7 linked regions of the Oryctolagus cuniculus genome follow. The protein of the gene in region 1 interacts with the protein of each later gene in a pairwise test. Links are inferred from orthologs where the notes say so. Each region holds a gene or a part of one and is shown on either strand. Other genes may lie near its edges. The genes, in order: NFE2L2, MAFK, WW domain-containing adapter protein with coiled-coil, ATF4, MAFF, TNNT1 and MAFG.

Region 1 (3,500 bases):
GGCATTGTGCACTGGAGCACTGTACCCCCCAGATGGTGACAGGGGTTGTACTGTATCCCCAGAAGAATGTATTGGCTGTGTTTTAGAAGCATTCTGTTTGACAACCCCATGGGTACTGTCTAGTTCTTCCATTTCAGAATCACTGAAGCCAAGTGGTGTGTCTCCACAGACAGAAGATTCCACTGAGTGTTCTGGTGATGCCATGCTGGGACTTGTGTTCAGTGAAATGCCAGAGTCAGAGTCGGCGAATTCTGTGCTTTCAGGGTGGTTCTGGTTAAAAGCTTTACAAAGGGATAGGTCAGAAACATCAATAGGCCCATTTAGAAGTTCAGAGAGTGACTGGCTGATGGGAGCAGAGGACATGCTGTTGCTGACACTGGGTTCAGCTATGAAGGCAGCATAAAATTCATCACCAAAATCTGTGTTTAATGTGGCATTTGAGTTCACGCTCAGCTGGGCGGGGTCATCTGCGGAGAGGATGCTGCCGAAAGAATCCTCAAAAGCACTAAGAAAATGCGCACTGCAGTTATCTTCTTTTTCCAGTGAGGGAGCCGACGAGTAGAAATGATAATTGTTGTCAACTTCTGTCAGTTTGACTTCTGCACTTGGAACCGTGGTAGTCTCAACCAGCTTGTCCTTTTCAATATTAAGACACTGCATGGGAAAGAAGTTTATATGATGTAAATCAAGATTAAGTACCTTTAATAGCTGGTAATCCAGGACTGATGATTGAGTTAGGTAAACTCACTCCCTATCCTCATCGTCTCCAAAGTGTTCTGTGATTCAAAGATAATTCCCATTTTTACTAGATAGTGACACCATTGCATACAATTTTCAGAGTTCTAGATCAGACTTCAGATTTACAATGTTCTGTCCTTAAGCTATCCAGCCTATTTAACAACAAAGTACATCTTAAGTGAGCATGGGTAGCTTTTATGAGTAATTTCAAAGGACTCTCCAATCCTTCCTTTAAGTAGGTGACATGTAAATTACAAATTATCATGATGACTAATGCAAAGGTGTTGAATATAAAATAGCATGTCCAGTACTACGTTAGATCTCAGTTACCTGTAATTCTGGAATGGATAATAATTCCTCCCAAATTTGCTCAATGTTCTGTTCCATATTGTTTAAATCAGCAACAGCTACCTGAACAAAAGAAGTTTCAGGTGTCTGAGCCTGATTAGGTGCAGTGAAGACTGGGCTCTCGACGTGGCTGGGAGTATCAGGAACAAGTGACTGAAACGTAGCTGAAGAAACCTAAAATTGACAAGGTATTTATCTCCATGAGTCTGCCATCAATGGGAGATGAGTAAGCTCCAAGGCACTATCACAACACCTTATATTTCTCCACTCACTGACCAGTTATGACCCCTATTTCTACAGAACAAGTATTTTTTCCTACCCAACTGACACCAAATTTATTCTTTTCTGGCTTTTTTTAATCCTATGCATTTGAAGGTAAACATCAAAATGGGTAAGAACTGCGTTAGGATTTAATTTGGACCTATCTAATATCTAGTGCAATACTTCAAACACAACAGACTTACGGAAATTGCAAACTGAACAAGTCTTGTTTATTCCCCAGCTTGCTCTTCACTCACCCAAAAAATTTATAAATATTTATAGCAAATAAGTTGCTCCATAGTTGTGCTGACTGATATTACTGGATATACAGAAGTAAAGGTTTTTGGTTTTGTATTGTATGATTTTTTTTTAATACCTATCTGCTGAGGTTTACCTGACAGCATATTTCCTTGATTAGAAATTTCCTAATATTTTAAATTTTCTTTTAAATGGAAACACAATAAAGGATTTATACAGGTTATGTTCGGTGTAGTTAGGGAGTTCTGCTATTATCCAAATTTGTATACCTCATTGTCATCTACAAATGGGAATGTCTCTGCCAAAAGCTGCATGCAGTCATCAAAGTACAGAGCATCTGGTTTGGGAATGTGGGCAACCTGGACCAAAAGGAAGAAAAACATCGTTAAATGTTCCATTGTCAAGCTCAATAATGATGATTTCAGGTTCGTAACTGATGTTCACAGAATGTTTATAATGTAGTTAAGTAACTTTTACTTTAAAAATCACTTTGGTACACAGACTTGAACCAGATTACCTAGGATCAAATCTTAGCTACCCTGATTTCATGAGTGGTCTCGGCAAACTATTTTGCCTTTTTCAGCTTCACTGCTCTTCAGTAGATAAAATGTGGATATGACACTTAATCCATTTAGTTGTGTGGATCATCAGTTAATGTATGGTTTTAGAGCAGCCACAGGACCGTAAGTAATCCCTGCCACCTAGTTCTGTTCCATCTGTTTGGTCCTAACAGGACATTTCTATCATTTACAAAGTTCTTTTCATGTAATAACCCTGTAAGGGAAGTGTGTCAGGTACTGCACTCTTCGGGAGGCTGACAGGGTTATGAAGACAGACACAGTAAAAGCCAAAATGAACTGAAGAATACTTTAATTCCTTGGTCAATATTTCCTTAAGCCTTGCCATAGACTTTCCCAAGACCTGAGTACTCTGTACCTGGGAGTAGTTGGCAGATCCACTGGTTTCTGACTGGATGTGTTGGGCTGGCTGAATTGGGAGGATTTCACCTGTCTCTTCATCTAGTTGTAACTGAGCGAAAAAGGCTTTCTCTTGCTCCTTTTGGAGTTGTTCTTGTCTTTCCTTTTCAAGTTGTTTCTGTTTTTCCAGCTCATACTCCTTCTGTCGCTGACTGAAGTCAAATACGTCTCGACTTACCCCAAGATCTATATCTTGCCTCCAAAGTATGTCAATCAAATCCATGTCCTATGTTTAAAACAAAAAAGGAGAGAGATCATGGTTAAGATGGTCCACCTAAATAAATCCACGTTCTGCCATTGTTGATGGTGGGGGAGATTACAAATGAACTCTGAATAAGCACACAGATGCAGTGTTGTAGAAGAGCACTGTTCATTTCATTCGAAGAAATTGCTCATTAAAAACAACCTGCAAACATACAGTCATCCATTGTAATCACAATGTGCTCTGGCAGATGGCGGAGATCACTAAAGGGCAGTTACAAATGTTGCCTATTAATGTGTTTGAATTCAAAGAATCTCATACTTGTTTTACAGAATATAGAAACTAAAGCAACCACTCCAAGTCACTGGCTTATTATGAGAAACAGGGTTTAGAAAACATGACTGAATACATGGAGTCTTCTTGAAAGCTGCTCAGCAAATACCCAGTTTACAAGATGTGTGTGTGTGGGAGAGAGAGAGACGGGGGAGAGAGAGAGAGAATCCAGCAATCATGAACTATGAAAACTCTTCGGCATCCCCCACACTGGACTGATTATCTTCTCTGCACCATTCTTGCTACTCTTCTCTGTGGCTCACTTATTAAAAGTTTCCTTTTGACCTAGTTTTTGTTCCTGAGGCACAAATAAGATGGCAAACAGAAGGGCTACCAAAACACTGGAAAGGGGTACTGAGTATCCACCAGGGCTCCTTGAGAAA
Region 2 (4,124 bases), on another chromosome or scaffold:
TCCACTCCCTGGCTCTCCGGGCCAAGGGGTCTCAGGACCACCCCTCTCCAAGCGCAAACCTGGGCCTCTCGCTGGCTTCCAGGTGAGGGACAAAAGCAGGCAGAGCGGCCCCGGCCCCTCCCAAACCCCGGCAAGACCCCGGGCTGCGGCTGCTTCCTGGCAAACGGAGAGCAGGGCACGAGGCCAGGCCGGACACCTGCCCGCCTGAGAGGAGGCACCTGCCGTGGCCTGGGGAGCAGGCAATGGCGCAGGGGCAGTGAGGGCGTCCGGTCAGCTCCCCCATGTCTGCAGCGGCCAGGGCTGACCGGAGCGGGGGCCGGTATCGGAACCCGGCGACCCCACACCCAGGCTCAGGAGGCCTCACTCCCTCCTGCTCTCGTCCAGCTGCCCGTGCAGCCCGCAGAGACCGGCCTGCCAGACCCGGGGCACTCAAGCACCAGTGTGCCCATGGGAAGCATGGCGGCCTGGTCACCTCCGGCACGCAGGGGTGTTCCACTCGGTCCCCTCTCCACCAGCCCTGGCCCCCCTCACCGGGGGGAGCTGGTTCTCAGAGCGGGCAGGCCCCCTGGCCATGGCAGCTGCTGAAGCCCCCGGCCCAGGGCCACCCCCACCTGCGGATTGCTGTACTCACGGGATCTGGGGACCAGGGCCACCCCGACCTCACCTGGTGCCTACCTCGCGAGGGCCTACATGGGGTCTGTGCCCCCAGCTGCCCCCTCCGCCTAGGGCCGCGTCCATGGAGGAAAGCTGGTCCTCCCGACCCTGTGCTGCGGCCCGCGGGGGGTCGTCCGGCCTCTATACCTGTGCTGTGGAGTGGCAGCTGTGACCCTGCGCTCGCCCCAGCGCACCTGGGACCCAGCAGGGACCCCCTGCAGCGAACAGGTGGGCGGCGGGGGCTCCCCGCAGGTGTGACCTGAGGCACAGACCGCACGCGGGGCATGCGGAATATGGGGTGCGGGACGCCATCGTCGTTCAGGGTCTCCCCCCGCACCCCGACTCTGCAGAGGAAGGAGCGCAGGTGCCCCGCTCAGGTGCGCGCCACAGGAGCAGCCGGGGGCGGGGCCGAGGAGGGGGCGGGGCCGGGAGGGAAGGTCGCTTTCTGGGGGTGTGGCCGTCCGGGGGCGGGGCCTGCGGGCCGGGGCGGGGCCGGCGAGGGCGGGGCCTGGAGACGCGAGCGTGGGAGGAAAGGGTCGCGGTCTGGGGGCGGGGCCGTGATGGGACTCGTCGTCCGCGCACCACGGGGCGGGGCCGGCGAGGGGGCGGGGCCGGCCGGGGGCGGGGCCTGCGGGTGGGGCGGGGCCGCGGCGTGACGCGCGCCGACGCGATCCCGGAAGCGGTGTCAGATGCTGGGAGCCGGCGGCGCGCGGGCGGCGGGCGCGGGGGGGGAACTTGTTGTTCTTCGCGAAGTCGGAGCCCGAGCGCGAGGCGGCGGCGGCCGAGGGGGAGCACGGGAGTGAGCGCGAGCGCGAAGAGAGCGCGTGCCCGCGAGGAGCCGCCGCGCGCCCGCCCGCGCGAGCCAGGTGAGCGCGGCGGGCGCGGGGCGCGGGGCCCGTGGGGGGCGGGGGGCGCTCGGAGCCACGCGGCCGCGGAGTCACGGCTGCCGGGGCCCGCGCGCCCGCCCGGGCCCGGCGCTGAGAGCCGGGGGCGCGGACCCAGGCCCGGCCGGGGCCCTAGCACCTGCGGGGCGGGACGGCGGCGCGCGGGGCCGCCACGTGCGGGTGCGGGGCCGCGACCGCGTGGTCCGGGGGCGGCAGGTGTCTGCCGTCGCGGAGCGGGGCCAGGCGCGCCTCGCCCTCGCCACGTGCCCCGGCAGACTCGGACCCGAGCTCCGGCAAGTGTCTGGCCCCGACAGGACACGGTAAGTCCTGGTCAGGTGCGGCGGCGCCCGGGAGCTCTTACATAGGTGTCGGCCCGGCCGGTGGGTGGGGTCTGGGGGCCGCGCAGGTGGGCGGGACGCACCTGCGGGGCACGGCTCGGGGGAGGACCTCCTGGTGGGAATGCCCGAGGGGGCCTGCCCCGAGGACCCGGCCCGCAGTAGAACGGTCAGTAAGGCAGTCCCGGGGGCCAGGATCCCAGGGAGCGGCCCCGGTGAGGCCGCGGGCGCCCGGGACGGCGGGAGTCGGTTTACAGCCTGGGGCGAAGCTGTCGCCGCGGACCCAGAAGAAGCCGTGCCTGTTGGCGGCCCGGCGGCTCCGGGTCTAAAGGTTCCTGGAGTGGACTTTCTGGGTTCCGGGTGCAGTCCGCACGGGAAGTGGCGATCGGGCCAGCTGGGAGCGCTCTCCCGGGCAGTAAACAGTGACTCACGCGCTCCGCCCGCCTGGATGGGAGGCGCCGCTCCCGCACGCACGCACGGGGGGCTGCGAGCCGGCCTCCGTTTCCTCTTTCTGAGCTGCAGGAAGCGGGAAGTTATCTGACAGTGCAGGGCAGGTGGGGGTGGGGGTGGGGGTGGGGGTGGGGGTGGGGCGCCACCCCGGGCCGCGGGGTCCCCTCGCCCCCTGCCAGGCTCGCCCGCCTGTTCTCGCCGCCGGCTCAGCTCCGTGGGGTCTTGGGGGAGAGCAGGTGCCTCCCACGAGGAAGGTAGTGGGGAGAACCTTCTGGAAGAAGCAGCGTTGGGGGAGGGCTGGTGCCCGGTGCACCTGGGAGCTGTCAGGAGGGACCCACCCACGTGCAGCTCAGGGCTGGGGCTGAGCGGGGCAGCTGCCCCTTGGGGGCGAGGTCACGGAGTCTGGGTCAGCACACAGACAGGGGAGAGCCCGGGGTCAGGCTGAGGGCGAGGCTGTGCGGTGCAGCGGGTGCCCTGGGGTGGGGTGCCCTTACGCGAGCTGCACACAGGTGAGGGAGGCGGGCCGGGGCTGTGTGTGCTTTCCCAGGGCGCGTCCCCGGCTGACCACGGAGCTTGGGGCCTTGCTGAAGCGCCTGGGTGGCCAGCAGAGGGCCGGCTCCGTGAGCGGGGCTGTGTCAGCCTCATCCCCACGCACCTCTGCATGTAGCAGCTTCCTCAGCCCAGATCAAGGCGACTGGACATCCTACAGGTCCGGGGCTGCCGGCTGGGGGCACTGCGGGCACCTGCCCGCCGAGGGGCCGTGTCCCGGCCAGGCTGGGGTGCTGGGGGGGTACAGTGGGCACCTCCCACCTGCCCACAGAGGGGCCGTGTCCCGGCCAGGCTGGGGTGCTGGGGGAGTACGGTGGGCACCTCCCACCTGCCCACAGAGGGGCCGTGTCCCGGCCAGGCTGGGGTGCTGGGGGGGTACAGTGGGCACCTCCCACCCACCCACAGAGGGGCCATGTCCAGGGCCGTGCTGGGGGGCACCATGGACACATCCCACCTGCTCATAGAGGGGCCGTGGCCAGGGCCAGGCTGGGGGGCACCATGGACACATCCCACCTGCCCACAGAGGGGCCATGTCCAGGGCCAGGCTGGGGGGCACCATGGACACATCCCACCTGCCCACAGAGGGGCCGTGGCCAGGGCCAGGCTGGGAGACACCATGGACACATCCCACCTGCCCACAGAGGGGCCGTGGCCAGGGCCAGGCTGGGTGCTGGGGGGCACCGTGGACACATCCCACCCGCAGAGGGCCATGCTGGGGGGCACCGTGGACACATCCCGCCCGCAGAGGGCCGTGTCCAGGGCAGGGGCAGCGGGTGTCTCTGCGGTGGGGCCTCGTCTTCAGTGGGGTGCGAGTCAGCGTGTCTGTGGCCCCAGCTGCGGCTGCGATTGGCTGACGTGTTTACTTGACAAGTGTGTGTGGCCCCAGCTTCCGCGCCGGGGCGGCCACATCCTCCGTGTGTGGATTTGCATCTGTCACGGTTGCTGCCTGGGTCTTGACTGCCGCTCCCGGTCCCGCCTCCTCGCCCCCCACTGGACGCCCGCGGGCAGGACGGGGCAGGTGGGACCGGGCGTGGGTCGCAGCCCCGGACCAGAGCCAGAGCTTCGGCAGCAGGCAGGAGAGGGCGTAGCCGGTCACTGACGAGGGAGGCTTGGAGCCCTGTGCGGCTCGGGGACTCCGGGGGCCTGAGTGCTGGCCTCTGCGGAGCGGGTCCCTGCCCCCAGGAGCCCCCGGCCGCATCACTGTCCCTGCACTTGCCCGGCCTCTCTGCCGCGGCCCCGGGCGGGCGCCGGC
Region 3 (3,500 bases), on another chromosome or scaffold:
AAATACTAGGAAATGAGGAGCTCAGGTAGTTATATAAAATACTTGAAGCATTTTCTGAGAAAGGGGTAGGTACTAGATAAAATTTTGCCATTTTTCCTGATTAATTACAATGTTTAGTTCTGGCCTCTTAAGTATCAAAAGTACATGGTTTCCTAAGTACCATCTTTTTTCTGCTCACTCTTAATTAAAAGGTTGTTGGAATGGATATAGCTGAAGGGTTTGAGTGGCTGCTTTTCTAAAAAAAAAAAAAAAATCATGAAATAACAGCCATTTATCTGGTTAATCTTATATACTGCCCTGTGCACTTCCCATAAAATTGGCTAGGTTTCTGGGATAACCCACAGTTCTGAGAACACGCTCTAGTGTTTTCTAAAAAGTCTCACAGAGAGGAGTTTTAATAGTAGATCTTAATTTAACTTTATTGTAAACTCACTCAGTTTCTATCTACCTCAGATTATTTTTAATCTTTTTCAATATTTTTAAGAGATTTAGTTATTTGAAAGGCATAGTGACACAGAGAGGGATCATCCATTCTCTGATTTACTTCCTATGCAGCCATGGTAGGTAGCCAATGCCTGAGCCAGGCTGATGCTAGGAGCCAGAAACTCTAGCCTAGTATCCCACATGGAGGGCAGGGGCTCAACTACTTGAGCTGTCACTGCTGCCTTCCTGGGCACATTAGCAGGAAGCCGGATCAGAAGTGGAACAGGCAGCATTTTTTTTTTAAGATTTATTTATTTATTTGAAAGAGTTCTACAAAGAGAGAAGGGGATGCAGAGAGGTCATCCATCTGCTGGTTCACTCCCCAATTGGCCACAACGGTTGGAGCTGCACCGATCTGAAGCCAGGAGCGTCTTCTGGGTCTCCCACGTGGGTACAGGGCCCCAAGTCCTTGGGCCATCTTCCACTGCTTTCCCAGGCCATAGCAGAGAGCTGGATGGGAAGTGGAGCAGCCAGGACATGAACCAGTGCCCATATGGGATGCCAGCACTGGAGGCAGCGGCTTTACTCGCTATGCCACAGCACCGGCCCCCATCTTAAATCCTTACACCCATTATATTCCATCTTCTAGGTTTTTGTTCTTTGTTGTTTATCTTGGTTCTTTTTTATTATTTTTTACTTATTTATTTGACAGGTAGATTTATAGACGGAGAGAGAGAGACAGAGAAAGGTCTTCCTTCCGTTGGTTCATTCTCCAAATGGCCCCTATGGCCGGTGCTGTGCCGATCCGAAGCCAGGAGCCAGGTGCTTCCTCCTGGTCTCCCATGCGGGTGCAGGGGCCCAGGCACTTGGGCCATCCTCCACTGCCCTCCCGGGCCACAGCAGAGAGCTGGACTGGAAGAGGAGCAACCGGAACTAGAACCCAGCACCCATATGGGATGCCGGCGCCACAAGGCGGAGGATTAACCAAGTGAGCCACGGCGCTGACCCCTGTTTCTCTTGTTTTAAAGATTCATTTATTTGAAAGGTAGAGTTAACCAAGAAAGATCCTCCACTCCCGAGTGACCACAGTATCTGAGGTTAGGCCAAGCTGCTCTAGGAACTTGGAACTCAATCTGTGTCTCCCACAGGCCCCAACACTTAGACTGTCTTCTGCTACTTTCCCAGGCCCATTAGCAGGGAACTGGTTAGAAGAAGAACAGCTGGGACTGGAATCGGCTCCTGTATAGGACACTGGCATTGCAGGCAATGGCCTGACCCACTATACCCCAGTGCACGCCATCACCCATTTTCTAGATTTTTATTTCAAGAGTTCCAGTTGTAAGTGCTTCAGCTGTTTTCCCAGTCCTGTTCAAGTTTCCAGGTTGTTATTAATGCTTTGTAGGCCTCTGTGCTTCTGTTTGAATTTAGGAAATAATGTTTTTAGTTCTTACAGCAGCTGTGACCCAGGCTTCACTGCAGTCCATAATTCATAAGTTTCTTACTGCTGGACCGTCTGCTTTCAACATAACCTCTCTGATCTCTCAAGCTGCACAACTCTCAACACAAGGTATCCATATTCTTAGAAATGTCTACAATTGTCTGGACTTTTATCAGCACTTCTTAAAAACTTCTTTAAAGATTAGCTATCTTTATTTTAGCTGGTTTTGGTAACACTAGCATTACAGTAGTATATGTATTTCCCTTTTTTAATGTTTTTAGATGATGCTTTGGAATTTATCTTAAGGTATTACTGTAAATCTGTAATGTAGTGTGATTTAAGTTGCTAATAAAAAGAGTTTTACTCCAAAGCTGAAGGTAAACTGCGATGTGCCCTCAATCTTCAGAAAGCATTGTTACATATTTGAAGAGCTGAAGTTTGGGCATGTTGATGTTAGATGATTCTAAATACAGACACACACACACACACACACACTATATTTGACAGGGAGAGACAAAGAGATCTTCTGTTCAGTGGTTTACTCTCTAACTGGCTGCAACAGCTGGGACTGGGCCAGGCCAAAGCCAGGAGCCTGGAACTCCATCCAGGTCTCAGATGTAGGGGTCAGGAACCTGGTGTTTGGGCCATCTTCTGCCACCCCCCAGGACCGTTAGCAGGGAGGTATATCAGAAGCATAGGAGCTAGGAGCTGAACCAGGCTTGCCCAGCTGGGATCTGGTGTCTCAAGCAACAATTTGCATAATGCCTGTCCTGATGTCAGGTGACTTTTGGCTACATAATATGGAAACAACCCAGTTCTTGCCTTGAGCTAGTGGTCCCTCTTCAAGTAGAGTAGCACAAAGGCTCTTGAAGTCCTTTGACTAGGCTGTGTGGCAGGAGACTGAGCACAGGACAGTGCCCGAGCCTCAGCGAAGCAATGAGGGGCTGAGGGGCTGCTGTGTGAGGTTAGGCTCAGGCTCAACTCCTTGCTGTGGCCTTGGAGTCCTGTGCTGGGTGTGCTGAGCTCTGACACAGAGCTCCTTTAGTCAGTGAGTCCACATGGGATGTCGGTTTCTGACTTGGTTGGGTAAGTGTTCTTTGGGGGACCTAGGATTGTGGGGGGTGTGTAGAGTGATGCAGAGAACTTCACCACATACTACAAGAGTTCTTGGTTTATTTAAAATCGGTTACATCGCTCTTTCACAGCCCAGCCATCTAATCAGTCTCCAATGTCTTTAACGTCTGATGCGTCATCCCCAAGATCATATGTGTCTCCAAGAATAAGCACACCTCAGACTAACACAGTCCCTATCAAGCCTTTGATTAGTACTCCTCCTGTTTCATCACAGCCAAAGGTATGTCACTTCTGAGGGAAATTCGCAAAAGTTCCAAGTTAACAACTGTTAATTTTTGAGTAACCTTATTATTTGTCTGCATTTTGATGAGGGAGCAACCAAAATGTGAGTTTCAGCAAACAGATCTTATTCTAGAGCTTAGAAGTTATCTTCAGTCTGTTTAAAAATAGTGCCTAAAAGTGAAATGCATGCTAATATTAGTTTTCTAGTCCCCGAGAAAATCACTGCATCAGATCCCTTAAGCAATGGCGGTCAGTTCTTCACTTTCAAAGTTCCTTCTCAAGT
Region 4 (3,634 bases), on another chromosome or scaffold:
CAGCAGGGAGCGGGCGGGACTCCCGGGATGGATGCGGGGTCGCGGTGGCGGCGCGGGAGTCCCACCCCCACCGCCTTCCTCCTGACCCCCGGGCAGAGTGCCGCGCCCTAGGCCTCGGCCGCCGGTCAGTTCCGGGAGGAGCCCCCTGAGGAAGCAGAGTGACCCCACAGGGGTAGCCGGGAGTGGGGACCCCGAGTTAGCGTGGCGGGAGCGCGTCCCGCGCGCGGGCCGGGCCCCAGCACGGCCAGTGTCCGCCAACAGACGGGGGCGCCGGGGCTGCCCGTGCACCCTGGGAAGGGTGGCCCTGGCCCCAGGGCAGGTTGTCTGTCCAGCCAGCAGCGCTCGCGGAAGGGACGCGGGAGTGGAGCTCTGCGGGCCGGGGCCCGGCTCCCCGGGAACTCCTGTCCCCCGCAGGGCCACCGGGCCTTGTCCGGAGCTCGTGGGAACCACCCGGGGTCGCAGCGGGGCTGAGCCTGCAGAGGCCAGAGGCGTCCCCGCAGCGACGCCCTGCAGCAGAAAGGGCGCCGCGGACACGCAGGCTGGCCAGCGGCTCGCGGAGGTCAGCGGGAGGACGCAGAGCCGGCCCCGGACGGCGGCAGGCTCCCCGGCCCCGAGGCCCGGGCCCGCTCGCGGCGGGCTCGCTCGGAGGCCGCTGGGCGCTGATTTCTACCGCTGCGGCCGCCGAGGCTACAACCAAAGGCACGGCTGCACGCCAGGCCGCTCCCGCCCTTTCCCGCGCAGACCCGGGCCCCTTCGCCGAGTGGCCCGCCCCCCTCGGGCCCTGAGCCAATAGGAGCTCAAGGTATATATGACTCCTCAGGCCTGAGCCAATCATCTCGACGCGCGCTCCCCGCCAGCGTCTCGCGCGATAGCCGGGCGGCCTCGGCCTTCACAATAAAAAGCCTCCTTGGAATGAAAGGCTCTTCACGCCCCGCCCCTGAGAGAGATCCCTCCGCGCATCCGGGCATCCGAGGGGGAAAGGACGAGACTCTTTGATCTTGGACGCCTTGTAAAGTAGTGCGCCTTTTTCCCGACGTGAGATCTTGAAAGTAAACTACTTTTCTGTACATGGCTACGCCTCGGACATAAAAGCTCGGGGGAGGAAAGTGGTGGGGACGCCGGGGAGTGGGCAGGAGGCGCGGGTCACATGGCCGCGGCGGAAGGATGCGTCCTGTGATGCGGCTCGGAGGCGACCAAGTCTATAAAAGCCCGGCGGGCCGCGCGCCGCCGCCATTACCGCTGCGCCCGCCCGTCGATGTAGATCTCTTGCGAGCCGTGCCCTTCCTCCTCCCGTCCCGCAGGGCCGCGGCCACCATGGCGTATTAGAGGCAGCAGTGCCTGCGGCAGCGTTGGCCTTTGCAGCGGCGGCAGCAGCACCAGGCTCTGCAGCGGCAACCCCCAGCGGCTTAAGCCATGGCGTGAGTACCGGGCCGGGCGAGGGGGCCGGGGCCCGGCGTCTGCGGGCCCTGGGCCTGGGCCTGGGCTTGGGCGCGGCCTGCGGCCGGGGGTCGGGGCCGCGTCGCCGAGGCGGAAGCGGTTTTACGAGCGCCGGGGACGCGTGGTTCCTGCTTGCGTGTCCTTGGGCGGGGTCGGGAGAGCGCGGCCCGGCGCCCGCGTCCCCGGGGAGGTGGGGGCGCGCTGTCCTCGGAGCCCCGGCCCCCGCTCTGCGCCGGCGGGGGTCGCGGTGGCCGCCCCGCGAAACGTGGCGGCGGCCAAGATGGCGGCGGGAGGCGGCGCGGGGTGAGTCACGGGGCGGGGCCGGGCGGGCGGGCCGGGCGCCGGCCCCGGCGGGGGCGGCCATGGCCGCTGTGCACCTGCCGCCCGGCCGGCCCCCGCCCTGATGGCGCCCCTGCCGCTCGCCCGCAGGCTCCTCACGGCACCCAGCAGCAGCGTTGCTGTCACGGACAGAGACACCTTCGAGCTGAGCCCCTGCCCCGGTTCCAGCGCAGCCCCGCGACACGGCCGACATGAGCTTCCTGCACAGCGCGGGGTTGGCGGGGGACTTGGCGTCCCCCTTCGACCAGGCGGCTTTGGGGGCTGAGGAGGGCCTGGGGCTCCTGGACGACTACCTGGAGGTGGCCACGCCCTGGAAGCCTCCCGGGCCCCCCGGCGACAAGGCTGCGGCGGGCTCCTCGGAATGGCTGGCGGCGGACGGGCTGCTGGGCGCCCCCGCCGACGGCAAGGGTGAGCGCCGCGGGGGGTGGGGGTGGGAGGGGGCGCCCGTGTCGGGGGGGGGGCGCCGGCCTCACGCGCCCTCGCTCGCGCCCCCGCAGAGGACGCCTTCTCCGGGACGGACTGGATGTTGGAGAAAGTGGACCTCAAGGAGTTCGACTTCGACGCCCTGCTGAGCTTGGACGACCTGGAGGCCGTGCCCGACGAGCTGCTGGCCACGCTGGACGACTCGTGCGACCTCTTCGCCCCCCTGGCCCTGGACGCGCTCAAGGAGCCGCCCCAGGCAGGGAGCCCGCTCGGCCCCCTCCCCGCGAGCCTGCCGCAGGTCGCCCCCTGCACCTTCCTGCAGCCCCTGCCCCTGTCGCTGGGGGTCGCGGCCGCCTCCCCGGATGAGTCGTTCAGCTTGGAGCTGGGCAGCGAGGTGGACATCGCGGACGGGGACCGGAAGCCCGAGTCGCCCGGCCTGGGCCCCGTGGTCCCGCAGGGCGTCAAGGAGGAGGACAGCCCCTCCGACAACGACAGCGGCGTCTGCATGAGCCCCGAGTCCTGCCCGGGCTCCCCGCAGCGCAGCCCCTCCGCCCCCACCCCCAGGGGCTCCCCGCACAGGGGCCCCCCCGCCCCGGCCCGCCCCAAGCCCTACGAGCCTGCGGCGGCCGCGGCGGCGCGCGTGAAGGGCGAGAAGCTGGAGAAGAAGCTCAAGAAGATGGAGCAGAACAAGACGGCCGCCACGCGCTACCGGCAGAAGAAGCGGGCGGAGCAGGAGGCGCTGGCGGGCGAGTGCCGGGGGCTGGAGGAGCGCAACGCGGCCCTGCGGGAGAGGGCCGACGGCCTGGCCAAGGAGATCCAGTACCTCAAGGACCTGCTGGAGGAGGTGCGGGCGGCCCGCGGCAGGAGGAGGGTCCCCGCCTAGGGCGCACGCACAGGAGGCTCCGCTGTTAATAAATTATTTTGTAGTGAAAGCATTCCTGGGAGTTGTCCTGTGGCTCACACCCTCTGGGCGTGGTGGGGCGGGCAACAAGAGTCCCACGCGGGATGGTGGGATCTGGTCTGGGGCGGGCACTCACTCCATGAGTGGCTGCAACTTCCTTGTTCGGTGTTCCTGTGTGTGTGTGTGGGGGTGGTCACTGGCTCCAGCCTGCACACACACAGATCATGGGAGAGCTGTCTATTCGAAGGCAGAGTTGGAGACGGTCCTCCATCTGCTGGCTCACACACCCAATGGCCACGGCAGCCAGGGCTGGGCTGCAGCAGAAGCCTGGAGCTGACAGATGCAGGGGCCCAAGCACTCACCACAGCAGAGAGCTGCAGCAGCTGGGATTCGAACTGGCACCCACATGGGGTTCTGGCACTGCAGGCTGCTTCACCTGCTATGCCCCAGCACTGGCCCTGAGCTGGGGGGCCAGACCCCGCTGTTCTGGGCCAGCCGTTAGGGACAGCCACAGTCTGGGACCGGGACCCATTG
Region 5 (4,252 bases), on another chromosome or scaffold:
AGGTGGAGGCGGCTGTGGTCCTGGGCCATCCGAAAGGAGAAGTGGTCTCTGGCTGTGCAAGCGCAGAAGGGGCTAGGAGTTTGTGTTGTCACGCCCCCGCCTCCAGGAATCCTGCACTGATTTCCTTACCCTCCTCCCAGGCCTTCCTCCGCTGGTGGTCTTGGTGCTCCGAGGATACCACTAGCTTGGAGGCCATTACTGTGGGAACGGGACCTCAGGCTGAGGGGCGGTCGGCATGCCGGGGAGGGGAGGCCGGGATGTGAGTGGGGGGCAGAGCCCGGGCTGGAGCCACCCGCCGTCACTTCCCTGCTGTGCTTGGTTCCCCCTGCCCTGCTCCCCTTCCAGCAGGGAGGAGTGCCCCCAGCGCCAGCTGCCAAGACCCAGGAAAACACATTTTTTCCCTGTGTCCTCACAGCGCGCAAGCGGAATGGCTCGGCAGCCAGGAGGAGCCGTGCCAGTGGGTGGGCCGTCTCCAGGCTGTCTCTGGGGTGGGCCTGGGGGCCGGGGACGGGGCTGCGCGCGAGAGCCGCTGGCTGCTGATTGGGCGAGGCCTCTGTCAGTCCCCAAGAGAAAGCTCACTCCCCAGGCCTCCAAAGAAGGTTAGGAACCTGCAGACCCTGGGAGGGGTTCTGCCGGCCTCCGAGGGAAGAGAAGAGGCCAGGAAGGGAGGCCCTGAGAGAGCGCTGGCCGGGGTGGGAGCAGGCCCCGGGGCGCCAGTCCCCCACTGCCACCCGCAGCCACCCGGCCGAGGCCGGCTCTGCTGCTGTGCAAGCCCCAGGCCGGCAGGGCCGGAAGCCCCAGGCTCCAGGGCTCCCAGCACAGCGCGGCAGCCTGTGGGACTTTCCCTCTGTGACTTTCCCTCCGTGACATCCCCTGGGCACGGGGGCCTGCGGGAGCCGACGGGCTGGAGGGGAGTGCGGAGGACTTCCTGGGGTCCGTGTCCCAGCCAGCCCCAGCAGCGAGAGGGGCAGGCAGGGCTGTGTTGAGAAGGACTCAGAGGCTCTGTGTCACTTCCTGGGAGTACGTGTGGGCTTGATGAGCCATGAGTGGGCAGGGGCGGGGGAGAGGGGTGTGGTGGGCGAGCCAGCCACTCGCGGCTCCTGAGCGTGTGGCCCCTGCCAGTGTCTCCGCGCTGTGCCTATCATCAGGGATCACCCCATCATCAGGGGTCCCCTCGCGGCCGGCCCCTCTGTGCAGCCGGATGCGGGTGTCCTGGCAGGCCCCGCCCAAAGCCTGGCCCCTCGAAGCCCGGCAGTGGGCACCAGGGTGGCCTCCGTCCTGAACCTCACATGAACCCCGTCCTGAACTCCACCCCGTGCTGGCTGTGTGGCCCAGGGGGCTGCCAGGCATCAAGTCACAGTCGTCAGAGGAGCCGGCACTCAGTCCAGGCCTCACAGGTGCCCACGGGACTTCAGGCAAGCGATGGCCTCTCTGGGTCTCCGCCGCCCCCTGGGGGAGTGAGGAGGTGGGGCCTAGGGCTGTAAGGGCCGTCCCTGGGCTGGCCCCGGGCAGCTGGGAGCTGCTGAGGCAGAGCGCTGCCAGGGCTGGCTGTGGCCCCGGCTCCGGCAGCTCGGATTCTCGCTTTCCTGCCCTCCCGGGCGCTGGCTGACCGCCACTGCATGCACCCCTCCGCTCCACCAGAACCTGCCAGGCAGGTACCGCGCAGAGGAGAGTGGACACCCGGAGAGGTGGAGTCTCGGCCAAGGTCAGGTGGCCTGGAGAAGACGGACAGGGCGTGCCCCCACTCAGTGCTCTTTCCGTCTCCCACTCCCCACCTTGCTCCCTTGCCGTGCCCCGCCCCCCGCCCCACCCGTGTGCCGTCTCTACCCCTCGGAAGGGACACAGATGGGAAGGAGGAGGAACTGGGGGCTGGCCTGAGGTTTTCTCGCAGACTGTGTCTGGCCAGGCCTGGACGCTGACCAGCTGGGTGACGGTGTCAGTGACTCCGCCCAGCCAGCCATCCTGGTTCAGCCCCTGGAGCTCCCTGCCTGGTGGAGAGACAAGGAAACAGCCCATGGCTGTGTGGTGGGGAGAGGGGGGTGGAGGTGGGGGGTGGTGCCTAACAAGGCCTAAAGGTCAGGGAGGGCTTCCTGGAGGAGGAGGAGGAGGAGGGCACAAGGATGAAGAGGAGCCTGCCCGACAGAGGAGGGGGGGGGGAGTGCCCGGGTGGGGTCAGAGGAAGACATCCACATGGCTGGGGTGCACAGTTGAGGCTGTGCACTAGCCTGGGGATGGGCCGGCCTCTGGCCTCAGGACAGTGGGAGCCACAGCAGGTTCTAGTCTGGTGGTGGCACAGGAGGGTTCACAGGGCAGGAAGCTCCCTGGGGCACTATGTGGCAGGGCCGTGTGTGGCTCTGACGGGCAGGGTGGCGGAGGGCGGGGTCTGGACATGTCAGTGACTGGTCAGGGCAGTGTGGGGTCCATATGATTGGGCCAGGCAGGAGGGATAGTGAGGGGGCAGGCATGGAGGCCTCCAGAGACAGCTTGCTGGGCAAGCCAGGCCCGAGCCCACAGGGACTGGAGGGGCTAGGCAGGGAAACTGAGGCCCGGGCCCAGGCGGAGCCCACTTGTTCAGCAGTGAGGGCTACAGCTCAGAGCTCCACCAGGAAGCAGGCCTTCCCCACCGGGGAGCCGCACAGGACACCACGGCTGCTGAGCGCTGGCCTGGGACCCTGGGCCTCGCCCCTCCTGGCCACCACACGGGAAGTCCCTAGAGCCCGCTGGCCTGAGATCCCTGTGGGTGCCAGCTTCCCGCCCCTGAACCGCTCCTCCTTTCCCTGGAGCTGCTGGACCCCCTGGCCGTGTGGGCGGGGAGGGGCTGGCAGGCCCCTGCCCCAAGCCCCGGGAGGCAGCTGTGGGCCACAGGACCTCCATTCCACAGACGCAACACGCAGGAGGATCGGTCATCAGCGACGCCCACGGTGCTCTAGAGAAACCCGAGGCTGGGGAGGGAGACAGGCTGTGTGTGTGCACGCGCCGTGGGCACCAGTGGCTGGGAACATGGGATCTGAAGCAAGCTCCGTGGCTGTCCCGGGAGCAGGCATGCCGGGCGGAGGGAGCTCCCTGGTCCCTTGGAGGAGCAGCCAGTGCTGGGGCGCACCGCTGCGGCCGTGGAGACCACTGGGATGGGCGCCGTGGAGGCTGCTGGGAGAGGACAGCTGCCCTGATGGACGTGCCGCCCTGGGTCACACGCGGGGCGGCACGTGGTGCAGAGAGCTCTGCGGGCCGCCCTCCACAAGCCCCGGCGTGTGCGGGCCAGGGCCTGTTGCTCTTGCATTCCTCCAGGGTCCCCAGCACACATGCGGGTCCTGCCGGCCGTGTCAGGGAGCCAGGGCCTGTCCCCGGCCCTTCACGCCCTGCCTCCAGCTCCTGGGGTCTTGTAATGACAGCGTCTAGGACGCCGGGCTTCCAGTCACCAGGCAGCTTCCTGGTGTTCTCCCACTCCTCACGGGGGTTGGCCCAGGAGCGCGCTCGGGTCACACCGCAGGAGGCCTGGTCACCAGGCAGGGACAGGGTAGCTGCTTTCAAGGGGCCTTGGGAGGCCTTGCCTGTCCCAGAGCAGTGACCGCTGACCCCGGCAGGTGCCGTCCTCGAGTGTTTATAAACCTCTGCGCCCCCAGTGCCAGGTGCACGCCTGGGCAAACAGCTGCTGCCACACCTGGGGCCCCGCTGCCTGGGGCCCTGCTGGGCCACGCCCCCTGTGCTTGGGGAGGGCTGGGGACTGGCCCCGCGCTGTGTCCATGGGGTGCTGGGGACATTGTGAAGTCCTTGGCTATACGTGTGTTATGTGTACTTCTCTGTATGTAGGTTATACTTGAAGGAAAACTTTTTTTTTTAATTTATTTATTTGAAAGAGTCACACAGAGAGCCAAGGAAAGGCAGAGAGGCAGAGAGGCAGAGAGGGAGAGAGGGAGAGAGGGAGAGAGGTCTTCCATCTGCTGGTTCACTCCCCAGTTGACTGCAACAGCGGAGCTGTGCCGATCTGAAGCCAGGAGCCAGGAGCTTCCTCCAGGTCTCCCACGCGGGTGCAGGGGCCCAAGGACTTGGGCCATCTTCCACTGCTTTCCCAGGCCATAGCAGAGAGCTGGATCGGAAGTGGAGCAGCCGGGACTTGAACCTGCGCCCATGTGGGATGCTGGCACTGCAGGTGACAGCTTTACCGGCTACGCCACAGCGCTGGCCCCGGAGAACTTGCAGAAATCAAGTCAGATCACAGCTGGGCCGGGGCAGGAGTGCCCACTTGTGAGCTGTG
Region 6 (4,289 bases), on another chromosome or scaffold:
AGAGTAGGTAGGGAGGACAGGAAGTGCATGAGGGAGAGAGAAGGATGCTGGGAGGAGACAAAGGAAGGGGGACAGGAAGTGCATGACAGACAGGAAGTGATGAGGAGACAGGAAGTGATGGGGGAGACACACAGGAAGTGCATGAGGGGACACAGACAGGAAGTGCATGAGGGGGACAGGAAGTGCATGACAGACAGGAAGTGATGAGGAGACAGGAAGTGATGGGGGAGACACGCAGGAAGTGCATGAGGGGACAGACAGGAAGTGCATGAGGGGGACAGGAAGTGCATGACAGAGACAGGAAGTACATGAGGAGGAGAGGGGGACAGGAAGTGATGAGGGGACAGGAAGTGCATGAGGAGGGCACACAGGAAGTGCATGATACAGGAAGTGCATTGGGGACAGGAAGTGCATAATGGACATAGGAAGTGATGAGGGGACAGGAAGTGCAGGAGGGGGACAGGAAGTGCATGAGGAGGATACACAGGAAGTGCATGAGGGAACAGGAAGTGCATGAGGGGACAGACAGGAAATGCATGAGGGGTCAGACAGGAAGTGCATGAGGGGACAGGCAGTGCATGACACAGGAAGTACATAAGGGGTCAGACAGGAAGTGCATGAGGGGAGGCAGGAAGTGCATGAGGGGACAGACATGAAGTGCATGACACAGGAAGTGTGTGACTGGGACAAGAGGCAGTTAAGAGAACTCGGCCGACTGTAGGGGACAGGCAGCGTGGAGCGGTCCTGCCCGCAGCGGCTTAGGGAGAGGGGACCAGGAGGAGACCCTAACCTCTGACCGCACCCCCAGGAGAACCGGGAGGTGGGAGACTGGCGCAAGAACATCGACCTGCTGAGCGGCATGGAGGGTCGCAAGAAGAAGTTCGAGGGCTGAGCCCCGCACGGCCCGGCCCGCCCTGCTGAATAAAGCTGCTCCGAACTGCAGTGGCCGCGTCCTGGTGTGCTGGACACTGGGGGGAACGGGGGCGGGGCCGCCCTGCGCCTCCGACAGGGGCGCTCATGGCTGCACGTGGGGTGCACGCAGAGGCCAAGGACAAGGCCGACGGGGAGCACCCACGGAGACGCCCACGGGAGAGGGACTGAGCCAAAGACGCAAAGGAGGAGAGAGAGAGACGGAAGACAGCGGGCACAGACTCCCAGGGAACCTGTGACCGACAGGAGCTAGAAAGACACACGAGGACATGGACAGCCACAGACTCGCCCAGGGACCCCGAGCACCAGACAGAGGCCCGCCCGGAAGTGCCATCGACAGGACACACACCCAGGGGCCAGAGGGGGACAAGGACAGAGCCCTGGGAGACCCTGAGAAGGGCAGCCAGGTCCCCGGGGGGAGGAAGCCTGCTGTCCAGGGCTCTCTCAAGGTCATGGCTGGACTGGGGGGAGGGCTTGCCAGCCTCATTGTCACCCCATCCTCTCCCCCCCCCCACACCTGCCTCCCGGTTTTAGAGCCTTTTGTCACCAGAGCGGAATCCTGGTGGCAGACAAAGGGGTGGGGGCGGGGACAGGGACACACACAGGACAGACAGAGGCTCAGAGACCACCCATGGGGAGGCCTGGGCCCTGGAGCAGCCAGGAGATGCCTGGACCCTGACTCTGGAGCCAGAAGGGGCTGGGCCTCCTCTGAGCTCAGGAATTCCCCCCCACCCCGCGCCCCAGGGGCGGGGCTCAGCCTGCAGCTATAAACCCCTATAAACGCGGGGTGCGTCAGAGCCCTCAGCGAGGCCAGGCCAGGCAAGGCTCAGCCTGCGGATCCAGCGTCTGCATCCCCAGCCTTAGGTAACGGGGCTCTGCCGTCCCCACGGAGTGCCCTGGACGGAGCGCGAGAGCTGGGGTCTGGGAGGAGCAGGCTCAGAGCACAGGGCGCCTGGGTGCCGAATGCGGGGTGTCTTCCGGAGTCTGCAGGGACCTCAGGAGGGGTGTTCTGGGCTCGGCTGTCAGATAGTCTGAGTGGCAGGTTTGGGGGTCTCCAGCTCTGGGGGTATCAGGACCGGGGAGGGGTCTGAGTGTGGGATTTTGGGAATCGGGTCTCAGCATTTGTAGCGCCATAGCTCGGGGTGTGGTGCTGAGCCCTGAGCTTGGGCCCCAGGGTGCCCATCCTGACGGTGTGGGGCCGTGGGGTAGCCGGGCCCACAAGTGGGTTATCCAGGGGGTGGGACTGGAAGGGCTCTGAGCCTGGGCCAGGAGGGTCTCAGGGACGCGGGGTGTGCGTGTGTGTGTGTGTGTGTAGGGTCTCAGGGACGCGGGGTGTGTGTGTGTGTGTGTGGTGTGGAGGGTCTCAGGGACGCGGGGTGTGTGTGTGTGTAGTTTCAGGGACACGGTGTGTGTGTGTGTGTGCATGTGTGTGTGTGGAGGGTCTCAGGGACACGGGGTGTGTGTGTGTGTGTGTGTGTGTGTAGGGTCTCAGGGACGCGGGGTGTGTGTGTGTGTGGTGTGAAGGGTCTCAGGGACGCGGGGTGTGTGTGTGTGTGTGTGGTGTGGAGGGTCTCAGGGACGCGGGGTGTGTGTGTGTGTGTGTGTGTGTGGTGTGGAGGGTCTCAGGGACGCGGGGTGTGTGTGTGTGTGTGTGTGTGGTGTGGAGGGTCTCAGGGACGCGGGGTGTGTGTGTGTGTGGTGTGGAGGGTCTCAGGGACGCGGGGTGTGTGTGTGTGTGTGTGGTGTGAAGGGTCTCAGGGACGCGGGGTGTGTGTGTGTGTGTGTGGTGTGGAGGGTCTCAGGGACGCGGGGTGTGTGTGTGTGTGTGTGTGTGTAGGGTCTCAGGGACGCGGGGTGTGTGTGTGTGTGTGTGTGGTGTGGAGGGTCTCAGGGACGCGGTGTGTGTGTGTGTGTGTGTGTGTGTGTGGAGGGTCTCAGGGACGCGGGGTGTGTGTGTGTGTGTGTGTGGTGTGGAGGGTCTCAGGGACACGGGGTGTGTGTGTGTGTGTGTGTAGTCTCAGGGACGCGGTGTGTGTGTGTGTGTGTGTGTGTGTGCATGTGGAGGTGAGTGGAGGAGACAGGTGGTGACTCATTGTCCCAGAAGGCCCCCCCAGTCCTTCTTAGGAAATGTCCTCTGTGGACATCCCCCCAAAATAGCTGCCGGGGTGGGGCTGCTATTGTCTGCAGGCCCTGTCTCAGATCCCCTCCTAATCCAGGGGGATCAGGTTCCTGTCCTCAGACAAAGGGGACAGCTGTGCTGGGGGGCGGGGGCTGCCGCTCTGCCAGGCCCACAGCTCCAGGCCCTGCTGTCCCCAGCGCTTAGGCTCTGGGGGCCAGGCCCTCCTCCCTCTGACATGGGGGTCCCCCAGCTCCCTCCTCCCTCAGACATGGGGGTACCCCCAGCCCTCCTCCCTCAGACACGGGGGTCCCCCCTGTTCCCTCCTCCTTCAGACACGGGGGTCCCCCAGCCCTCCTCCTTCAGACACAGGGATCCCCCCAGGCCCCTCCTCCCTCAGACATGGGGGTCCCCCAGAAACTCCTCCCTCAGACACAGGGGTTCCCCCAGGCCCTCCTCCCTCAGACATGGGAGTCCCCCAGCCCTCCTCCCTCAGACACGGGGGTCCCCCCAGGCCCTCCTCCCTCAGACATGGGAGTCCCCCAGCCCTCCTCCCTCAGACACGGGGGTCCCCCCAGGCCCTCCTCCCTCAGACATGGAGTCCCCCAGCCCTCCTCCCTGACACGGGGGTCCCCCCAGGCCCTCCTCCATTAGACATGGGAGTCCCCCAGCCCTCCTCCCTCAGACCAGGGGTCCACGCCCCTCCCTCCTCCCTCAGACCCAGGGATCCCCCCCAGTCCGGTCCTCCTCCCTCAAACACGGGGATCCCCCAGCCCTCTACCCTCAGACACAGGAGTGCCCCAGGCCCTCCTCCCTAAGACCCGGGGGCCCCAGGCCTTCTCCCTCAGACCCAGGGGTGCAGGCCCCACCTCCTCCCTCAGAACCAGGGGTCCCTGGGCCTCCCCCTTCAGACCCCACAGCCGTCACCTCTTCTCTCTGGCGCAGGTCACAGCAGGATGTCGGACACCGAGGAGCAGGAATATGAGGAGTGAGTGACAATGGCAGGAGGGAGGGGCTTGGAGAAGCCCCCTCCCCGCCCCAGACTCTCTGACCCCCATCTCTCCCCAGGGAGCAGCCAGAGGGTGCGCAGAGAGGAAGCCGCCCGGGGACAGAGCCGCTGGCCCACCCCAGCCATCGCCCATCACCCACCCCAGCCATCGTCCACCCCAGCCATCGCCCATCACCCACCCCAGCCATCGCCCATCATCCACCCCAGCCATCGCCCATCATCCACCCCAGCCAT
Region 7 (4,294 bases), on another chromosome or scaffold:
TCTGCCTGTCAGACAGCTTTCAACAACAGCAATTCAGCCTCATCTGCCGTGGCCCAAACGCTGCTGCCCCCGTATTTCAGGGACAAGTGTCCAGGACCCTGTGTGGGGAGTCTGCCAGGGGGTTCTGGGACAGATGAGAGGACGTGCGTGGCTGGGCCCCCTGGGCCCTGGAGCTGCACCGGAGTCAGGTCCCGGCTGCCTGGGCCATTCCAGTGACAGGACACGAGCCCCCCACCCAGCACCGCACAGGACAGCTGGACCCCTGCACCCGAAGAGCTGCCCCCTCACAGGACAGAGCGTGGGCACCTGCCCCTCTCTTGTCTGCTCTCAGAACTGACCCCAGGGCCCAGGGCTTCTCTCTCTATAGGAAGCAGTCCCAGTACCTACGGCCCCCACTGGCCTCGCCCGTGGCCCCGGGTGGCCACACCCATGCCTGCCTGTTGCGGCTGCTGAGTGGGGGTGGGTGTGTGGGGGTGGGGAGTGGACGGACGTCCATCAGCAAAACTGAGTGGGAGATGAGATGAGTTTCCCAGGCATCTCCCACGCACTGGACGGCGGCAGGGGAGGGCGAGCTGCCTGGGTGGTCAGCAGTGATGGCCCCCGGCCCCAGGACCAGGCGTCCTGGTCCAGCGTCTCCCAGCACAGAGGAGCGAGGGCACACCCGGCTCTCCGTCACGACTAGCCCCCTGCCCTCGACCTCGGGCCTCAGACCAGCGGCCACGGAGCTCCGATTCCCACCGCGAACCCGGCTCAGGGCTGCCCCGCCCCCCGGAGCCTGGACCCAGCGTCCAGGAGGGGTGAGGAGCAAGCTCTGAGACCAGGGACGCACTCGTGGGGTGAGTCGCTGCGTTTTCTACGGAAAAACCCGAGGCTTTACAAGTCGCGCCGTCCCGCGTGGACACCCCACCCCGCCAGGAACCCCGCGCAGCCCCGCACAGCAGCTCCAGGTCCTCCTGTGGGCCCCTCCGCGGCGCCCTCACCTCCTCACCTGCCTGGCTGTGCACCTGAGCAGGGAACAGGGCCGAGAGCGCGCCCCCACCCCGCCGCGCGGCGACTTCCTGGGGGAACGATCGGCGGCGGGGGCGGACGCGGACCCGGGGGCCGGCTTCAGACAGGTGCCGGCGGCCCGGGGGACGGCCCGCGCCGTCCACTCCTGGCGGGCGCACCGCGGGGCCGGGACCTGGGCCCTGCACCCCCGGGGTCGGTCTGCACCCGGACCTCGGACTAGGGCCTCCCGCGCGCTCGCACCGCGCCGCGGCGGGGGCGTGGTCCGGCCAGGGCGCGCGCCCGGACAGTCCCGCGAGCCCCCGACGCGGCCCGGGCGCGGCGCGCGTTGCCAGGGGCGACGGCGCCCGGGCTGCGCAGGCGCAGGGCGACGCGCCCCGCCGCCGCCGCCGCCGCCGCCGCGCCTTCCCCTTTAAGCTCCGGCCGGCCGCGTCGCCGCTTCATGAATGGAGCCCACGTGACCAAACATCATGTGACGTCTGTGGAGCGGCGGCGGCGGCGGCGGCGGCGGATCCCGAGCCTGGTCCGGCCCGGCCTTCGCAGAGCGCTCGGCCCGGCGCGCGAGGCGGCGAGACCCCCCCCGAGCCACGGGCCCGGACCCCCGGCGCCCGCCCCAGCTCCGCGCGGCCTCGGAGCGCGCGCGGCTCCGCCCCGGCCCCGGCCTCGGCCCGCCGGGCCCGCAGTGTGGTGAGTGTGGCGGGCCGGGCGGCGGGGGCGGCGGCGGGGCCCGCGCCGGGGCGGGGCCGTGGCCTGGGCGCGCCGCGCGCCCTCCGGCGGGCCGGGCCTCGCCTTCCCCTGCCGTCGGGAGCCGGGCTGCGGCCCCGGCCGCGGGTGCCCGGGCGCACCGCCGGCGGCGCGGCGGCGCGGCGGCGCGGGCGGGGCGTGCGCGGAGCCCGCTCGGCGGAGGCCGGGACGTCCCGGGGCGAGGCGCGGCGGCGGCCGGGGGGAGGGCGGGGCCGGGCGCGGCCGGGGGCGCGGGGGCGCGGGGGCGCGGCCGCCGGCTCCTCAGGTGTGTGGCGGCCGCTGGCGGCGCGCGGGGCCCCGGCGGCCGGGCGGGGGCGGCGGGAAGACCCTGCCCGCGGGCCCGGGCTCGGCTCGCGTGCCAGCGCCGCGACCTGCTGAGTCATCAGCATGAGGTCACTCGGAGCTGCTGCTGGCGCGGGGACTGGGCGCGGGGCCTCGGGACTGGAGGGGCCGGCCCGTGGCGGGGGAGGCACACGTGAGGATGAGCGCGAGGCCGGCGTGGCCAGGCGGAGGCCGAGGCCGCGTTGCGGGCTTCCTGCGGGGCAGAAGTCGAGCCCCTGGCGAGATCGGCCCTGGGCCCACGTTCGGGGCAGTCCCCCAAACTGATAAACAGCTGGGGGTGACGGGAGGGGAGGGGTCTGGTGGGCCGAGCTGGCGGCTGGAAGCCCCTGGATGGGCAGCCCCTGGCGTCAGAAGAAAGAGGAGTGAGCGTGGGGCCGCAGGGGCGGCGGCGGGCAGGGAGCAGGCAGCAGGACTTCGCAGGGCAGCCAGCGCGCTGTCGCGGCCGGGTCCGCTGGCCCTGGGCTGGGGCGAGGCTGCACGCGACAGGAGCTCAGGATGCGTCCTTTGGGGTGCAGCAGGTGGGTTAGTGTGGACGCACAGGCGGGAGAATCGGGTCCCAGACACCCAGGGGTTGTCCCCGGCGAGGAGGGGTCCCAGCATGGAGTGTGCTGAGCCAGTGTGGTGTCTCCGCTGTCTGGACCGGCGGCTAAGAGGCCAAAGGGTGGTGTGGCCGCGGTGGGGGCTGGGGGCCAGGGAGGTGGACAGAGCTCACCTTCCCACTGCTTCCCTTGCCCTGGGTTCGTGGCCGTCGCGTGGTCGCACCCAGACACCGCGCAGCTTCCTCGGGGCTTCTCCGGCACGGGTGCTCTGGCGTGAATGGAGCCGCAGGACTCGGGTCGGGGTCGCAGAGCGTCGGGCGGCCTGCCTGGGACTTGTGGCCGCTGGGGTGTGCCGGGCAAGGGTGCCCAGGGGAGCTGGTCCTGGAGGAAGGGCCGGAGCTGCCCTTTCCTCTCCTAGCTCTCAGCTGAGTGGGTGGCCCAGGGTCCCCCGTGGGTCAGGCAGCAGGGGACAGCGGCTCTAGCTCTGAGCAGCCCTCAGGACGGAGAGGATGGGCTGGGGGGGCTTCCACTCAGTGCAGCCTCCGGGACCCCCCCTCTGGCTGGGACAGGTGCCCCGAGCCAGCCTTCTCCGCCATCCCCAGGGGCCGCCTCTGCCCGGAAGGCTGGAAGCGCCGGCTTTGCCGAGGCCCTCCCCCACGGCGTGGGTGCCTGCACACGCACACGCACACGCACACGCACACGCGTGCACACCTTTGATCGGAAGGCGCCTGGCTGCACTGTGCTGAGCTCAGGCCTTCTGCAGAGGGCGGAATCTGTTGAGGAGGCACTTTTCCCAGCCCAGCGCCGCGCTCGGCACTTTTCTGTGTGGTCCCCTCAGGAAGCCACCGCTGTCATTGTGCGGTCGTGGGGGGAGGGACACCCCCGTGCCCAGGCAGCAGTGAGGGCCCGTCTCCTGGTGGGCCGGGGCCGGCTTGCGGGCCTCCTGACCTCCAGCTGTGGGCACCCCATCCCCATCCTTCTTGGGGTCCCGCCTCCTGGCTCGGCCCCACCCTGCCTCCTGGCTGCAGCCTGCCTCCTGGCCAGGCCTGGCTCCTGTGGGGTCTCCACCCTGGGAACATGGGCCGCCTGGCCAGCCACACTGTGGTTCCCCGGGTGGGTGAGCCGGCCAGGAGACTGTGGCCTTTCTCCCCGTCCACCTGTTTACCTGCCTGCATCTAACCTGCAGAGCAGTGGGAGGGGCGGGCTCCGGGAGGGGTTCCTGGGGTGGGAGCTTCAGGTTCCTGGCAGGGGTTCAGAGAGCGGACAGTGCAGGGTGGTGCTCGAGGGGCAGCTGGCGGGGGAGCGGTCTGGGCACTGGGCTGTGGGTGCAGGCCCAGGCAGGGGACCACAGAGCAGTCAGTGACTGCCACCTGCCTGTCAGTGAGCAGGCCCCGGGGCCCTTGTGAAACACCCTGGCCAGGGTGGGGCAGGGGCGCAGGAAGCTGCAACCCAAAGCCACACGGTGGTTACTCCACGGGCCGGGAGGCGGCCAGAGCGGGCTGGAGGGGCCCTCGGGCCAGGCTCTCAGTCGGGTTGCCTGCTGCTTCCAAGGTGTGGGGCTCCCCAGCTCTTCCCGCCATGGGAGCCGGGGCCAGCTAGATGACTCGCTCCCAGCTGGAGGGCCCCGGGAAACTGGGAGACCCCTCACCCTGCTGTCTGCCCCA

Evidence for each region.
Region 2: the proteins of NFE2L2 (region 1) and MAFK interact in binary tests that used the Homo sapiens proteins (3 or more experiments, as listed by UniProt). The link is inferred for Oryctolagus cuniculus from reciprocal best matches to the Homo sapiens genes NFE2L2 and MAFK.
Region 3: the proteins of NFE2L2 (region 1) and WW domain-containing adapter protein with coiled-coil interact in a two-hybrid assay, tested with the Homo sapiens proteins (2 studies listed by BioGRID and IntAct). The two-hybrid records come from large-scale screens. The link is inferred for Oryctolagus cuniculus from reciprocal best matches to the Homo sapiens genes NFE2L2 and WAC.
Region 4: the proteins of NFE2L2 (region 1) and ATF4 interact in binary tests that used the Homo sapiens proteins (3 or more experiments, as listed by UniProt). The link is inferred for Oryctolagus cuniculus from reciprocal best matches to the Homo sapiens genes NFE2L2 and ATF4.
Region 5: the proteins of NFE2L2 (region 1) and MAFF interact in binary tests that used the Homo sapiens proteins (3 or more experiments, as listed by UniProt). The link is inferred for Oryctolagus cuniculus from reciprocal best matches to the Homo sapiens genes NFE2L2 and MAFF.
Region 6: the proteins of NFE2L2 (region 1) and TNNT1 interact in binary tests that used the Homo sapiens proteins (3 or more experiments, as listed by UniProt). The two-hybrid records come from large-scale screens. The link is inferred for Oryctolagus cuniculus from reciprocal best matches to the Homo sapiens genes NFE2L2 and TNNT1.
Region 7: the proteins of NFE2L2 (region 1) and MAFG interact in binary tests that used the Homo sapiens proteins (3 or more experiments, as listed by UniProt). The link is inferred for Oryctolagus cuniculus from reciprocal best matches to the Homo sapiens genes NFE2L2 and MAFG.

The regions. Positions count from the first base shown.
Region 1 is NC_091434.1:63,900,451-63,903,950, reverse strand, and holds part of NFE2L2 (nuclear factor erythroid 2-related factor 2), read right to left. Parts: intron 2,809-3,500; coding exon 2,542-2,808; intron 1,965-2,541; coding exon 1,875-1,964; intron 1,261-1,874; coding exon 1,069-1,260; intron 655-1,068; coding exon 1-654.
Region 2 is NC_091450.1:36,677,886-36,682,009, forward strand, and holds the start of MAFK (transcription factor MafK), read left to right. Parts: upstream 1-1,324; 5' UTR 1,325-1,520; intron 1,521-1,704; exon of another isoform or gene 1,705-2,042; intron 2,043-4,124. UniProt on the Homo sapiens protein: Since they lack a putative transactivation domain, the small Mafs behave as transcriptional repressors when they dimerize among themselves.
Region 3 is NC_091444.1:99,039,024-99,042,523, reverse strand, and holds part of WW domain-containing adapter protein with coiled-coil, read left to right. Parts: intron 1-1,867; coding exon 1,868-1,990; intron 1,991-3,066; coding exon 3,067-3,215; intron 3,216-3,500.
Region 4 is NC_091442.1:115,755,002-115,758,635, forward strand, and holds ATF4 (cyclic AMP-dependent transcription factor ATF-4), read left to right. Parts: upstream 1-1,214; 5' UTR 1,215-1,418; intron 1,419-1,866; 5' UTR 1,867-1,967; coding exon 1,968-2,184; intron 2,185-2,273; coding exon 2,274-3,082; 3' UTR 3,083-3,134; downstream 3,135-3,634. UniProt on the Homo sapiens protein: Transcription factor that binds the cAMP response element (CRE) (consensus: 5'-GTGACGT[AC][AG]-3') and displays two biological functions, as regulator of metabolic and redox processes under normal cellular conditions, and as master transcription factor during integrated stress response (ISR).
Region 5 is NC_091442.1:114,968,797-114,973,048, forward strand, and holds the start of MAFF (transcription factor MafF), read left to right. Parts: upstream 1-1,452; 5' UTR 1,453-1,619; coding exon 1,620-1,705; intron 1,706-4,252. UniProt on the Homo sapiens protein: Since they lack a putative transactivation domain, the small Mafs behave as transcriptional repressors when they dimerize among themselves.
Region 6 is NC_091449.1:3,704,975-3,709,263, forward strand, and holds the start of TNNT1 (troponin T, slow skeletal muscle), read left to right. Parts: upstream 1-1,489; 5' UTR 1,490-1,794; exon of another isoform or gene 1,795-1,886; intron 1,887-3,207; exon of another isoform or gene 3,208-3,624; intron 3,625-3,685; exon of another isoform or gene 3,686-3,991; 5' UTR 3,992-4,002; coding exon 4,003-4,034; coding exon of another isoform or gene 4,035-4,038; exon of another isoform or gene 4,039-4,044; coding exon of another isoform or gene 4,045-4,070; exon of another isoform or gene 4,071-4,081; intron 4,082-4,114; coding exon 4,115-4,128; intron 4,129-4,289. Other genes in the region: TNNI3 (troponin I, cardiac muscle), read left to right, coding at 809-892. UniProt on the Homo sapiens protein: Troponin T is the tropomyosin-binding subunit of troponin, the thin filament regulatory complex which confers calcium-sensitivity to striated muscle actomyosin ATPase activity.
Region 7 is NC_091448.1:998,383-1,002,676, forward strand, and holds the start of MAFG (transcription factor MafG), read left to right. Parts: upstream 1-1,494; 5' UTR 1,495-1,692; intron 1,693-1,769; exon of another isoform or gene 1,770-2,014; intron 2,015-2,144; exon of another isoform or gene 2,145-2,609; intron 2,610-4,294. UniProt on the Homo sapiens protein: Since they lack a putative transactivation domain, the small Mafs behave as transcriptional repressors when they dimerize among themselves.